2 linked regions of the Oreochromis niloticus genome follow. The protein of the gene in region 1 purifies or fractionates together with the protein of each later gene. This does not show direct contact. Links are inferred from orthologs where the notes say so. Each region holds a gene or a part of one and is shown on either strand. Other genes may lie near its edges.

Region 1 (7,717 bases):
CTCTGACCTCTCCCTGTCAGCCCTCTCTGATCTCCTTGCATTGGTTCCTAATAAAGAGACAGCCCAACCTGCCTGCACACTCAGGCCTGAAGCCCGACTGTTTGCGGAGGACAGCGACCATAAAATTCCATCTGAAACCACAAGCTGCTGTTCCTCTGCCGGCCACCAGAGGCACCAGTGGTGAGTCAGTCCTCACAAAGTCCTGTTAACATAAACATACTGACAGGCTGATGCAGAAGCTGTTTTGGTGTCTGTATATAACCCCTAACAGGAGTGAGGATTATCATTGACTAACACAACCTCAGATGACCTCGCTGGTGTTTGTGGACACAAATTGATGCTTCAGAGTTCAGATAGATGAAAAACAGAATAAACTGAGATGCTGTGAGGTCATGTGGTGATTTCTTTCTGTGATTTTGTTTTTATTTTCACTCCTTACACAACATCAGACCTTCCTTTGTGTGTTTTACTGCCACAGCAGCACACGTGTGCAAGCTTTCAGATCTCCTTATTGCGCACACATCCATCTCCTTACAGTGTGAGCATAAAGGCCTGCTTTCCACATGATGGCATCCATGGACTCGCGGCTTTCATGCGCGCCTCTTTGTTTCCTTTATGCTCATGTTCTCTGCTGCTCTGCTGCTGCTGGCTCGGCCCTGGGGCCACACTCTGCCTCATCCTGCTGGCTCTGAGGGAGATGGATACAGCTTTTCTTTAGAACACAAGCTCATGTTTGTCTGCACATAAAGACACATCCCCATCAGCCCACCGCTGCTGGTCAGCTGTTAGTTTATGGTTGAAGTGAGTTCTTGTACTATCATGTTTGGATCTCATGCAGCCATGTGAGTCTTTATGTCAACACTGTAATCATTAACCAGCAACAAGCTGGAGCATCATTTTCTGTTTTTGCTGTAATCATGAAGGATCCTTGTTTCTGTGTTCTGTGGAGTTTATTCTGCATTTAATCATCTTTTTGTGTCTGTTCTCATTATTTTTGTTGGTTTTATGAAAAATTCATGATAAGTTTGAATATTTTGTTTCTTGTGCTTTTCAGTATCTTGCTGTTGAAGTCAAGAGAACTTCAGTCACTGCTCAGTGTTGTGCTAGTACAAAAACCTGACAGCAGCCATATTATTGGTCAGATTATTCATTACAAACACCCCAAAAGGAAAATCAGCTCCATTCTTCAGACACAGGTGTTGATTTCTGGCTCTTATAGTATAAAAAACCTATACGCAGCACAACATCTAAGCAGTGTTTCCAATCAAGGCAGCACAGACTTAGTTCAGTTCAGTTCAGTTCAATTCAATTCAATTTTATTTATACAGCACCAAATCAAAACAGTCACCTCCAGGTGCTTTATATTGTAAGGTAGACCCTACAATAATACATACAGAGAAAAACCCAGCAATCATATGACCCCCTGTGAGCAAGCACTTTGGCGACAGTGGGAAGGAAAAAGTCCCTTTTAACAAGAAGAAACCTCCAGCAGAGCCAGGCCAGTTATTGTGCAGGGTCGTTTAAATCAACCAAAAAAAAACAGAAAACTGTGTCTGACGTTATCCTACTGCTTTTGTTCAAATATAATTGGTATGGGGTTTTTTTTATGAGTGATAGTATGCAGGCGTGATTAGACTGAGGATTCTTGATTGTACTGTCAGGGTGCGATCAACGCTCCGGTGCTGTTTATGGTTGAAATTAATAACAAAAAACAAATAATAATAAAATAAGAAGAATACAAACTGCAATTCCTAGTTATTCCTGGGTTTAAGAAGCATCACCACTGAGACCACTCCTGCTACCTCACCTCTAATGTAAGATCTTTAACCAAGTTCCGTCCAGAGTGCACCGACTGAACATCCAAAATGCTACAAAGGACACGCAGATGCACGCCGGTGGACACAGAGAGCCAGAGCGCTTGTTTCTAAAAGCAGAGGAGGGCGACCTATTTAAAAGGTTAGTTTCTCAGCCCTGTGGGTGGATTAGCAAAACAAAGCAGGAGCACTATATTTATCCGTTTCCTTATCTAATGCCACAGCCTCATCATGATAAGAACTTTGTGCATCTCCCCGCCCCTGGATTAATGCACTGTTCTCAGACTCCTGCAGCCATGAATAATAACCCACCATCACCCATCCCACTGTGTGACTGGCCACTGGCAACGCAGCGATTTCACGCACTGGATACAGCCATTAGGAGGTTTTTACAATAAACTTTATCATGTTTGTCATGCGGGCGCTCCAAAAACATGAAACTGTAGCTGGATGCTGTGAGGTATAAAATCGGGGGGGAGGAGGAGAAGCAGAAACAAACAGGGACATGAAAAAAGAGCAGATGATTAGCACAGAGATGAGAGATTATTTTGCTGCATTCTAATGTGATGTTCACATGTGTCTGATACAGATCTGCAGGTTTCACAGTCCCAGAGGGAAGGAGGGCTTTAAAGTCAAACGGTGTTCTATTATTATGAGAAATCTTCTCTTAAGACCGGTGGTCATGGCAGCAGGTGCATTCACAAGTGCTACATAAAGAATATACAAACACTGGAGTGGTTGTGTTTACATCTGAAAAGCTCTTGGTCCAACCTTATATCCTGACACGATGAACATAACAAATTCTGCACCTCAGGTTTGAATGTTATGCCTCCACGAGCTGACCTTTAAGCATAATTTTATATACATGTGAAAATGTTAAGACCAGGCTGCAGGCGTGTAAAGACACATCAAAAGAAAAAACACATAAATAACTATATCAGCACAACAAACTCCACCCTGAGCCCGAGGTCACTGAAATCAAAATATCCAACCGGTTTTCTGTCCTGTGCTTTACTCAGTTGTGTATGAGCCAATATGAATGTCTCTGTGAAAAACCAAACCGGCACAGGCTGGACTTAGCCGGGTCTGCTCAATTTGGCAAAGCACCCGCAAAACATGAAGATGTTCTGAAGGAAGTGTGCAGGAATCATCCTGTGACGGACATGAAGGTACAAACCTTTCTGGCAGCAGCTGCTGACAGATTTCAGGTGCTGAATAAAAAACCCCATCACACAAACAGCTCCTGCACGTGACTGTGATCAGTGACTGTTCCTTCAGGGCAGTGGAAGGAGAGCGGATTTATGTAGTTATATAAACTTTTTATTTTGTAGTATTAGCTTAAATTGAAAAAACAAACAAACAACTGAACTGATTATGTATTTTACAGCAGATTTTTTTTCATCCTCATTTCCATTTCCATTCCAATTCCAAAAAACCAAATGACTGTTTTTAAGGCCTGAGGTGTGCAAACTCTGAACTCCGAGTTGAAAGCATCCCGCTGTGTTACTGACGGAGGTTCAGTCACAGAATGTCCCAAACCTCAGCCATCCTGATGAACATGTGTAGGAGTTGGAGCTGAGTCCCACTCTGCGGTACTTCAGGTCCTGTTACCAGCTACACAGGGAAACGGTAACCATAACAACAGGTAACCACTAACAACCAGCATCCATAACAACGGCAGCTCACAAATTAGCTCTCTAATTACAGAGACACAGTTCAGAGCCACTGCTGCAGCTGATAACAACAACACAGCTTCTAAAAAAACTGCAGACACGCATCAGGTCTGCAGGTCAGCTACACAACAAAGAAGTTCTCATTTAAACACAGAAGAAGCACAGAGACAAGCATCTCTACTTTTAAATACAGGATAAGATTCGCTCATCTAAATCACATGATGATTGTATCAAACTCTAGAATATTTCTCAGGCGGAGGGTGAACCGAGGGGGAGCACTACTGGAGACCACGAATGAGACTCACAGCTGGAAATTTAAAGCAACAGATGTGATGCTTGATCCACTGTCTGCTTGTGGAACTGGGTTTGTGTGAGTGGAACAGAAGTCAAACAGAAGAAATCAGTGTGTGTGGTTAAAGCAGCAGAGAAGCACCAGTTTTTCATCTGTTTAAAGATCAGTAAGTGTTACAAGGATCCAGAGGCTCTGAGCAGCTTGTTGTGTGTTCAGTTTGGTTCCATCTTCTTTCGGACACTTCGTCTGCTCCGGTCATTGGAGAAGAAGAGTCTCCTCTGGGAGACACTGAGGCCTTCCTAAAGGACCTAAAGGACTGGTTGTTATTTAGCTGTCATTTTCTGCTCTGCTTCAGCAGCCAGAGTAGTTTCTATCTTACATTCACTCCAATGAACCCATCAGGAACAATTTGGGGTTCCATGTCCAGCCCATCGAACAGGCTGCTCTAGTTCCTATCCCAGATCAAATCACCATGTCCTGGGTCTGCTCCAGCGTCTCCTCCCAGTGCCTGAAACACCTCACCTAGGACTTTGGTTCCTCTTGGTTATAAGTTCCTGCCTCCTCCGATCAGCACACAGTATTCTTACTCTCTGGCATCTGTGGTTAGGTCCACACCTGGAAGACTGACCAGCCTTAGCTAAAATAATGCTACAGCAGACAGACAACAAAAAACCAACAAACTTGCAAACAATTTAACTTTGTCCAGTTATTTAATAAGAGGACTGAGAGATAACAAACCCATCACAATAAAAGAGATGACGACAGTGCTGAAGAAATGAGAAAAGCTCAGCGGTGAACAGGTGACCATAAGCCACATGATTGGAGTGTGGCAGCTTGGGTTTGAGTCTGACCTGCACTCACTTTCCTGCCTGTCTTCACTGTTCTGTTATCAAATAAAGGCAACAAAAGAAACAATCAACTCGAGCATTATGAAACAAAAAGGACACAAAAGGGATGAAAACACCCCAAATAAATGCCGGAGCACAGCTGGATGATTCACCCTCCAGCCTATGAACAGCAGATAACACCTGCTTATATCTACAGCTGCAGCTCTCTGATGCTGTCTCTGTTATCACGTTATCGTGTGTTCATATGAATACTGTTCTTTGGTTTGTTGCAGGGCAGGGTGGATTGTCCGTCTGATTGGTGCCAGTCATCAAAGTACTTTCTGTCCCCCTGACAAAGAAATGAAGGTCACAGAGAGGACACAAAAGCATGCAGAGCATCAACAAAACAAGCCAGAGAAAAACTTTGAACGGAGGAACACCTGAGGACGGTGATGAGCATAAACAGAGAAAATGATGAAGGAAAAACACAAAACTACTCCCCTTCTTATTTCTCAGATTGTGCCTCCTCAGTTCCTCTCCTCGACTCCTCCATTGGGCTGAAGGAAGAATGAGAAAGATGTGGGAACAATCAGTGAATCAGAGGCGACAGGCAAGAAAGACAGGAAATGGAAACCAGGAGACAAGGACACAAACATGTGGATAAGGACGATGATGACAAAGAAACACACAAAACTGGGTCTAAAACATGAGAAACAGCTCAGAGCACAACAGCAGCAAAGTTCTGCGTTCTTCCAGAAACATTTATCTGCGTGGGTTCTTCCAGACACGTAACCGTGTGTGTGTGTGTGTGTGTGTGTGTGTGTGTGTGTGTGTGTGTGTGTGTGTGGGTACAGTAGCAGAGAAACGTCAGATTCAGTGCCCGTGTGGAGACGAGCAGCACTGCTGGGATGACAGTAGGCCTGAGTCAGACTCTGCAACACCTGAGGGAGCGTCACCAACCTCACATCACCACATCTGTGTGTGTGTGCGTGTGTGTGCGCACGTCTCACACGGAGTGCTCGCATGCGTGTGTGTTAAATATATGTGAGTGTGTTTAGGCTCAGGGCTGCATGCAGAGAGTGGCGTGGAGGGGGGAGCACTGTGATGAGTTTAAGAAGTCTTGACAGCAGATGCCTGCATAATAACGCAGAGAGAGGACATGTGCAAGCAGGAAAATCAAGGACACCACGTCATGCGTGCCACTCATTTAAAGTAACAGTTTCTGTGGCGGCTTAGAGCGCGCACGCAGATTATGTGCAGAAAAGGCTGCAGATGCTGCTAAATGGATTTGGAAATCGGTGCTGAGAAATATAGCCGAGCAGGGATTTAAAGAGCTGTGTGTGTGTGAGTGCTTGGTGGAGGTCGAGGCAGCATTTGTTAGTGTGATTGGTTTGGTGAGATTTGTCAGCAAGCCTGTGAGCAGATGCTGATGTGTAGGAGGAGGCCAAGTTCAGCTTCAGCCCAAACAGGCAAAGCGTTTATTCAGGCTGACGATGTAGCTCATTAAAACAGTGCTGGAGTCCTGGAATCCTGGAATCTGGAGTCCAGGTCCTTCAGGATGCTCTGCATTGTGGTCTGAAATTCAGTCTGAGATCATTCTTGCAGGAAAACTGACCATCAGCGTCAACATGGCAGCAATTTAAAATGGATTCCTATCTATCTGCCTCCTCCTGTGTGTGTGTCTGTGTGTGTGTGCACGCTTGTACTTCTGTCTCTGTGAGGACCGGTTTGCGTGCTAAGGCATGAGAGTACACATCACAGCGCTGAGCTGGAGTGGACAGAGGATGCTGCAGCAGAGCGAGGAGGAGCGTGTTGTTTTGCATTTGTGATGCAAGCTGACGCTGAGGCGTGATGTGATGTTCTCTCAGCACACCGGCTTGCACAGAAAGGGCTGCTGGATATTTACCTGGCGAGGCTGCAGGCGCACTGATGATGATGATGATGATGATGAAGATCAGCCCTTACCTCTGCTTCACTTCTTTTCTCCATTTGAGCAGAAATGTCTTGCTGGGCTGAAAAACTTTGTTTGGTCTGCTGGTTTGCTTCAAGAAAACTCAAAGCTTTAAACTCCACAATCAGCTAAGCTTTAAACAAATATTAGCTTGATAAACATAATTAGAGGACACTTTCATGCTCAATGCTTTAAAAACCAAGAGCTCCCGTGATACTAATTTTTAACATTTAAAAGCTGCCGAGCATTCCTGCTGCTCACAGGTCAGTGGTTCACATCAGGGTTTCTTTTCTTCTCTTGCACCTGGTTCTGGATTCATACCTGAAACCTCGAGGGATTTTCCTGCAGGAATCGTTCCACTCAAAGCTCGTAAAGTGCTAACACTTTAATCATGGAGAAGTAAATAATGTTGGAGTTAAAGTACTGAACATTTGTTTAGGAATTCAGCTCAGTTTGGGAAAAATCATCAAACACCCCAAAACCAAGACAGAAACAATCAGTGTTTGTTTACAGATTAATTACAGGAAATATATATTAGTGCTGTCAGCACTAATGACTTTTGTCAGCACTAATATCTATCTATCTACATATATATATATATCTGTATGGAATGGAAAAAGGTGACTGCGACTGGAGGAGCTGTGGGCCAATCATCAGTCTCCACTGGTCACGTATTGCACCTCCAGCTTTAACGTGCACCCTGGGTAAACCCCATCATACACACACACACAGACACACACACAGGGTGAGGGCCTCCCCTCCTCCATCCCACCCACCTCAATGTGTCTGCATGTGTTCAAAGGCCCTCGGGGAAGCAGATCACAAAAAGAAAATCTGTGCTTGTTCACAGCAGCCTACACAGGATATTAACCACACACACACACACACACGCACACACACAGTCAAATCTACAATAACTCAACAGAGGCTGCAGGGGGGAAGAGAGGGGATTACAGCCTCAGAGAAATAATAACAACAACCTCTGCTGCTCTCCACAGACATCAGAGTCATAAGGGAAGAGCAGGGAGGAGAGAAGAGAGGAGGGAGGAGAAGAGGGAGGAGGGATAAGGGAGGAGAGGAGGGAGGAGAAGGGTGGGACGCCACCTGAGATGGATCGGTGTGATGGAAGGGATAGAAAACTGATTGTGTAGAGGGTTTTT
Region 2 (7,875 bases), on another chromosome or scaffold:
CTGCTATTCTGCAGTGAGGATACTCGGGGAAGTTTTGTTGGCTGGATAAGGCAGCTTTAACTGTATTCTTTTTGGGCCACAGTTATAAAACCACCAACCTCTTCAGCTGTCAAACCGGCATAATGAAAAATTCAATCTTTCTTTAACAGAGAGGAGAAAATGCTTAAGGATAAAAACTAACATGGCCTCGCATTTTAAAGAGCTTGCAAGCTTCACCTCCAAGAGGCATGTTTCAAAGTGACATGAGCACAGATCACTCCAGCCAACTGTACTTCCTCATGGGCAAAGTGCCTACACCAGCATTAACCTTAGCAATCTCCCTTTCTTGCTTTCACTCTCCTCCTTCCTTCCTTCCCTTTCAGTCGCATCTCTTCAAAACAAAACCACAAACACTATGTCGTAGCCTCAGTCCATGATTCTTTGAGCCTCATGCTACATTTAGGCCTGCATTACCTTCAGTTTACATCAGATACGGGTCTGGTTCACAAACACCGAGCCAGTTATGTAGTATGAACTACAATGAGGAAGAGAAGAACACAAACAGCCACTGGCCCCCTGAGCTGGAAATGATTTTACTCATTCACTGTCATTAGCCTCAATAATGATAGTGCGCCAAGACGACGAGGCTGCCGCTAGCAAATTAGATGCAAAGGATTGTGATGTGGCTTCTGAAAACAGTACTGAGGATGGATGTGTTGCCTCCAAACAGCTCTCCATGTTGTCAGTCAACAATCACACTTCACATTTCTTAATGAAAATGTACACTGACTGACACGACATTACCTTCAGTTTTTCTTGCCTTTAGGTTTGAGCTTTAAGATGCTATTATACTAATAAAATGATCAAAATTGAAAAAAAAATGTTCTTGATAGGGTATTTTTTACTTTCCTATATTGTCCTGCAAAAATCAAACGTCCATGTATCGTATCAAACGTGGCTTGAGTCAAGAAAAATATTTGACTAAATTTTTTAATCACTGTACCTAAAACAAGAACATTTAAAAAGAGAAAGTATATCTTACATGAAGAAAGTACATTAGTCAGTGCTTATATATAGCAGACAACAGCAACTTGCTAGTTAAATGGATAAAACGTTCCTTTAAATATTCATACCGCTCTTAAATTTTCTTGCTTTTAAATAAGCTTATCGACCTTTGATCATCTTTGAGTCACATGTGGGAAAATATACAGAGAGAGTCATTATTTAAAAATAAGTCCTGACAACACTGAATCAACTCTCCTATGCAAAGCAGATCCACTGCATTAATGACCAGATTGCTGCAGTTCATGATGTGCTGCACCTCACGGTGCTGAAAAGAAAGGTGAACTGCTTTTTCTCACTGATGCATGCAGAGTTCTTTGTTCTGTACTACGGCTCAATTTGCCATTCACTCTTTTACCCTCAGTGCTTCAATATGCATTTAAAGCAATTCCACATTTACTATTATTCTGCTGCTTTTTCAGCCCTTGTGTCAAAGCTGGACTAATCTGAACGTTTCACTGCACATGTAGAACACATTTGCATTTTAATTTAAAGGCATTTCCAAAGGAAAACCTTTGCTTAAATGGTAAGTATGTCCTGTGTTAGATAACAAACAGTCATCAGTCTTCATGTCCACCACACGGGTTAAATAATTTGCCTTAAGTGATAGAAGAAACTATTTTACCAGCACATGATCAGTAACCAGCTGTCTGGGGAGGTGGAATAAAATTCAATGCAGTATTTTATTAACATTTATAATGTTGCAGGCAGAAGCCAAAGTGCAACGTGTTAATGTTTTTCAGTGATTTCAATGGCAATTTCCATTAGCATGCTCTTTCCATAATGATTGACAGCTGCCATCAGTTTATTTAGTTTGGGAATTGAAATACAATCAACTTAGTTACACCAAGTTAAAAGCAATCTGCAGTGATACTTGTGGTACTACCACATTATTGTTTTAAGTAGTTTTAAGTATTAAGTAGTGCACTACAGATAATAATACGAGAAAGTACTAGTATCTAACTACTAGTAACTAACTACAGAGGGAGTATTCCAGTGCATCTTAAATAGAAATAAAATCAGTTAAAATTACAGTTTTTCTTCATTGCTCAATAGTTAAAGTTTTAGGTAAATTTAAATAACTGATTTTGATAACTAACTCGTGGCAGGTGTCATCAATCGGAAAGGAATAAAAAAATCAAATTAGCACATCAAAGGGGAAAACAATACATCCATTTTTGGTGAAGTAGTCGTGGTGGAGTCACAGAATTTGACAGCCACCATCATTCAAAATCTGCTTTGATTGGATGTGGCAATTTAAATGCTGAATGTCTTGAAGTTTTGGTATTTAGCCAGATTCAAATCTGTTAAGACATGCCCTACCTATACTTCATGCCAGTCTTCACACTTTGCTCGCTGGAGGAAGGCACGCTCTGCACAGAGAGTTGTCCAAGACTCCGAGCCACCATCGCCACTGCTCTGAACTTGCTGCGGGTGCCTGTGCTGGGGCTGTTGGCATTCTGTCGATTTAGCCGGTCCTCCGTGTTGCGGCTTACCCCACCACGATGATCCGTGCACACTAATGACACCTGCATTCTGGCTCCTGGCCGACTGTCCCAACTGCAGATTCCCTAATTAAACTCTCCTCTTTATGAATAAGGAGAGGAAAACACCAAGAGGTGCAGAGCCCAAGGATCCTCTCGGGAATGTGAGACTGTTCACTCACAAGAATCAAGCTTCACACTAAGCCTCTGCAAGAAATCACTGCCCAGTCTATAGAGTGACTGTCCAGCACAAAATGTTGCAGAAAAAACAAAACAAAAGGTATAAGGGGTGGGAGGGCAGAGGAAATGTGTGAAAATGGTGATGGATTGCTGATCAGGTGAAAATAAAGTCCTGGCAAACGCAGTCCAAATTCAAGCAAAACATTATAGAAACCTGCAGTCACTGCAGACTTTAGACATGAAACTCAAGTCTGACACAATGCAGTGGATAAAGCAACAATTTCTTTTAAAGTAATAAGAAAATTAGGGGGAAAAAAGGAAAAAAAAAAAAGAAAAACGCTGATTCCCCACTAAGTTTTTCCTCGATTCTCTCGGGTGTCTTCTTCTTGCTTTTTCTATTAATCAAAAGCTTGCAGGCAGATTCAGAGTCTTGGAATTTCCTCTTTAAAACTGAGCTTAGTGTTAGAGATTGCACCTCTTGGTGCCAAGCTTTAAGAGTGGCAACGCGTAGATCCACACAGAGAGATTGAAAGAATAAAACACGACACACAGATCCAGGAGGTTTTCATCTGTCCTTCTAGGTCCGCCTCGGCAATTACGCTGGCTGATGCATATTCGACTCAATACTACTGCATGTTAGTAAAAGGGCAACCTCATATTCACCTCTCACTGTTGCCTGGATTAAACTTACATCTGTATGCCCTGTGCTGAGCATAAAGCAGCACGGAGCACACAGGAGAGAGATGGAAGGGGAGAGAGAGAATGGATGGAAGAGGGGAGGGGAGAGAGAGAGAGAGAACGAGAGAGCGAGGGGGTGGGGGGTTGTGGTGGGAGGGATATGAAGAGAAGCTATGAGGAGGAATATTCAGAGAGCAGCGTGAGAGAGCAATGCACTGAAATCTTGTGTGTTTATAGCAGCTCTACAAAGACAGGGTGGTGCATTTCTGTGCTCATCTTTATCTGTCGTCTGTTGCCCTGCAGTGTGATTTCATTTAGTTATTCTGTCAGGAGAAAAAAAAGGAAGGATGAATGCTCAAGACTCTGCATTGCCTATTGCCCCAGAAAAGGGGTTTCTCACGTGGGTCTGTTCAACTGCCCATGAAACATTTATTATGCAACTTTATCTATGACAATATATATTAAAGACAGGCATGTGATGCGCGTAGATGTGTACTACTGTATCTTTTCAATTTCAACCGAGCAAAATAAGCTTGATCAAGAACAAGTACAACAAAACGTCATCATTTCATCTATATTCACCACGTATTAGAAACGGATCTGATTAACAGTAACAGGCACGCTCAGGTGAACGGAGGAACATGCAAGAGTGAACAGTAGAAACACGATAATGGTTGGAGGTTGAAAAGTAAACACCACATTGACTGCAGCTTGATGAGACAGTAGATGAGAAGCACACTCTCAGTAATATAATACTGAAGCTTATCTGAGTGGATCAGTGAGTGTGCCAAGGAGATAATTAAAAGAGATGCCATCAGTAGCAGACACGTATAGTAAAGCAGTCAAAGAAGAAACCCTCCATCAAAGGAATCCAGCAAACAGGCTGCTGCTAACTGACAGCCCTATTCTTAGATTTGCGACCTTTTGGTCTCCTAGACTTAAATAGAGCCCTGAGGGGGAAAAGGTGGTCTAATTGAACTGAAATCTGATTTAAGTTTCACACTGTGGACAGAAAGCAGAGAAAACAAGCTACAAATGACCTTCTGAATGCTCCTTCCTGCCACAAAGACCGTGAGAAATATAATGACAAAATACTAATCATACTCAATGTCAGGGTGACAGGGAAGAGATTTGGGTACATTCCCTTCACCATCAATGTCAGCTCATTTTTAACAGAGCAGCTGAATACACCAAGACACCGCTTTAGCACAGGGTATGGTTTATGCATTTGCCACCGCTGCGGTAGAAACATGATGCCACAATCCACGCTGCTCTACTCCAGGACCCCCAAGAGTCGTGACATGTGGAAGGTACTGAGAATTGGGAAAGGCCGGGAACACGAGCTCATGCTGTCAGATACAGTATCAACCTTTACATCTACACTGAACCTTGACTAAACTCCCAGAGTCACAGGAAGTTAGTGGGAACACTTTACTTATTCAATTTTAGAAATCTACATGTTCTTTAAAGGTAAAGGAATCAATATAATCCTCTATAATCATATTTAACTTACTGCACCTCCTGCCATTTTCTGCAGACTGTCCAACTCCCACCACCAACACTAAACTGCAACAGTCAATGTTCATTTTAAGAGACCTGTAAAATGTCTAAACTAAAAATGACACCACACACACCAACGCTTTCTAATTAACAAATACAACAGGATCTATAAATACACCAACAAAAAATATGTTCAATCCAATAAATCATGCTTGTCACATTTACTATGATTTAATAATTCGCCACAGGTACATCTGCCAACTTTCTTTAGACTGGCAGTACGTATTTTATTCCTTCTGACTATATCTGGAAAACAAAAAAAGGACCAAAAGCCCAGAGAGAAGGAGAAGAGAAAAAGAAATCATTAACTATGACTGACACCTAATCGCTGCATGATGACATGACTGTTCTCTTTAAGAAATGTTAGCAGGCATTGCTGTGAGCATGCCTGACAGATATTTTAGGAGTATACACCTACTGCTGTCAAGTGAAAAGCTGATAAGTAAAACCTTTTATTCCCTCCTTTCTTCAGGAAAAATAAAGAAAAGACTTCCTAGTTTCACTTTTTCAACATGCAACACTTCTACAGCAGAGTCAAGACAATGCCAAAGGGGAAGACTTCATCAGTTACTCATAACTTAATAAACCACCTCAGCGTTTAATTCATTACTCAAGTTTTCACTTGGATGACGCATCAAATTGCACTGCAGTGGTCACACTGCCTACTGGCTTGGTAATGAACTTGGAGTCAAAGTCATTTTGAACAAATGTGTGCACATTCAGGATCTCCTGCAGTCTTTCATGCACACTTTCACCAGGATTTCTGATGAAATCAGACCACAATCGAGCAAAAACTGGCCTGAGCATTAAGCTGCTTTGTATTCATTCATCATAGAGAACATCTGTAATGAATTAACTTCTACTCATTGTTTGTTGCAAGATAAATCAGTCGTAACGATGATGTACTAAAAATAAGTAACTCTAATCTTCACATAATGCCTTAGAGTGTAGCTGTTAAATTGCTAATTAGTGACAATATGTTTAGGAGGAACACAGCAGGGTGGCTCCGACCGTGTTAAACTGTTCTGCAGCAATAAAGAGCTATTTTTAGATTAATGCTTAAAGGAAACAACCAAACAACACCTGTAAACCTTTTAAGTTCCTACTGTTAGATCTGGACTCAGTAGTTGGTTGTTAGTTAGCAGTACTGAGCAAATCTTATTACAGTGCCCTTTCTTGTGTGGGGGCCTTAATCTCCTCACTTTGATTAAGTGACTGATTTGAGGATATCCCAAAAAAAATCTACTGAGCTTCTAAAATATCACAGTGAGTGAATGCAGAGGACTGCTAGGGCCCTGTACCTCATTCAGTGTGTGGGGGAGGAAGAGGAGAGATAAGCTGAATGTTCAGAGCAGAACATGTGTGCTTCCCTGATCACGACTGCAGTCGACTAAAATTCGCCAAAACCAATAACGGCGCCCTTTTTCAGGCGAGAGAAGACAAAGAAAACAAAAGACTGAAGAACAACATTAAGTTTCAAATTCGCCATGTAACAGCTGTAAATACACACAAACGGCTATAAAAATGTATTCCGCTTCTTCCAGTCTTACATCCTTTATTAGCAAAACTTGGAAAAAGACTACTGCAGAACTCACACACACACAATCAAAATTATTGACTATGTTCTGCTCAACTCAACAGCCTTGGTCAGAAAGAGGCTTAAGCCCATCGATGTTGCTATGCCATAATGAAGCCTCAGGAGTCTGTTCTGGCCGTACAGGAGCTCAGACAACTGCTCTCTTCCAAACTACAGCGCATATACTGCAGCTAAGACAACTTCTATAATGAACGGCGCATCAGAAATTTCTCTGACCACAGAAGTACTCTTGGGTACTGTTGTGAGCACTGATTCTTCGGCACAACCGCAGTCTTATCTCTAAAAATAGGCACTGGCTCTCCGAATCAATTCCACACACTGAGCACAAAACACAAAGAATGCCCTTGGCGGCTGAAAGGGGAAAAGGACCTCCAAAATTGACATTTGTCACTGGCGTGAGTGTCAGACGGAGTCTTTCACTAATTCGCTTTCAGGGGCAGACCGTCTGCGTCGAGCTGCGATCGGTACGTGAACTAGCAAGTCTGTAGACCTAATCCGTCCAAGCTAGTTTAGCAAGCAAAGGCTTTTTGTAGTCATCTATAAGGACTACAACACAGATAACGATTCCCTTTAAGCATACAATTAAACAGGGTTGTTATCCAGCTATATTCTGAATACCCAGTTCTTCAAGATGGGTAATCAGAATAAAGCTTAAGAATATCAAGTCAAAAGTAGTTTAAGCGTTTCATCTCATGCTTTCTCAGACTTCTGTGCACATTCAGTATCTTACTGCTAATTAACAAAAGCTTACTCAGGGATCTCAGCCACACAGAATTACCACACCTGTATCATATGTAACTGTCAGCCAGTCATCCAACGGTGGCTTAAGTGCCACTTACCGGGAGTTTAACTCCACACATTTGTGAGGATTTGAGTAACCATGTGAAAAGTATAGCATCCCCAAGATGATGTGTGTGTGTGTGTGTAAAAGGGCTTAAGAGAGTTAATGGAAAGAGAGGTGAAGTCAGACAGATTGGCAGTGTTGATCGACAGATGCTTTTCTAACAGCTTAATGCATCCCGAGGCTGTGTCTGAACATTTCTAATTGAATCACTATAATGAGGATGTAATTAAAGAAATTGGAATACTGCTGTTTATGTGTTATATTAGCATCAAGACTGCTTTCTTTCTCTACCGTTTCATGGTCTGAATGAACTCAACTGTGATAAAGATGTACTGGAGATTTGGAATAGCCATCACAAAAATACAAATAAATGTAGAAAATTAGGTCTAGCTCTTCGGCGATTCTGGGATTTCCTGGGGAAACAGCAGAGTGATGGTCACATCTGCGAGCAACGAGTGCTGCAGTTTTTAATTCTCCAGTGAACATGGCAG

Evidence for each region. The genes of interacting proteins can lie anywhere in the genome.
Region 2: the proteins of potassium voltage-gated channel subfamily A member 1 (region 1) and kcnab2a purify together in Homo sapiens (co-immunoprecipitation; 3 studies listed by BioGRID and IntAct, counting the BioPlex papers as one, with this or other methods). This does not show direct contact. The link is inferred for Oreochromis niloticus from reciprocal best matches to the Homo sapiens genes KCNA5 and KCNAB2.

Annotation. Positions count from the first base shown.
Region 1 is NC_031981.2:22,387,619-22,395,335, reverse strand, and holds the start of potassium voltage-gated channel subfamily A member 1, read right to left. Parts: upstream 3,018-7,717; 5' UTR 2,992-3,017; intron 689-2,991; 5' UTR 1-688. UniProt on the Homo sapiens protein: Voltage-gated potassium channel that mediates transmembrane potassium transport in excitable membranes. Forms tetrameric potassium-selective channels through which potassium ions pass in accordance with their electrochemical gradient.
Region 2 is NC_031970.2:18,705,506-18,713,380, reverse strand, and holds the start of kcnab2a (voltage-gated potassium channel subunit beta-2), read right to left. Parts: upstream 3,005-7,875; 5' UTR 2,577-3,004; coding exon 2,365-2,576; intron 1-2,364.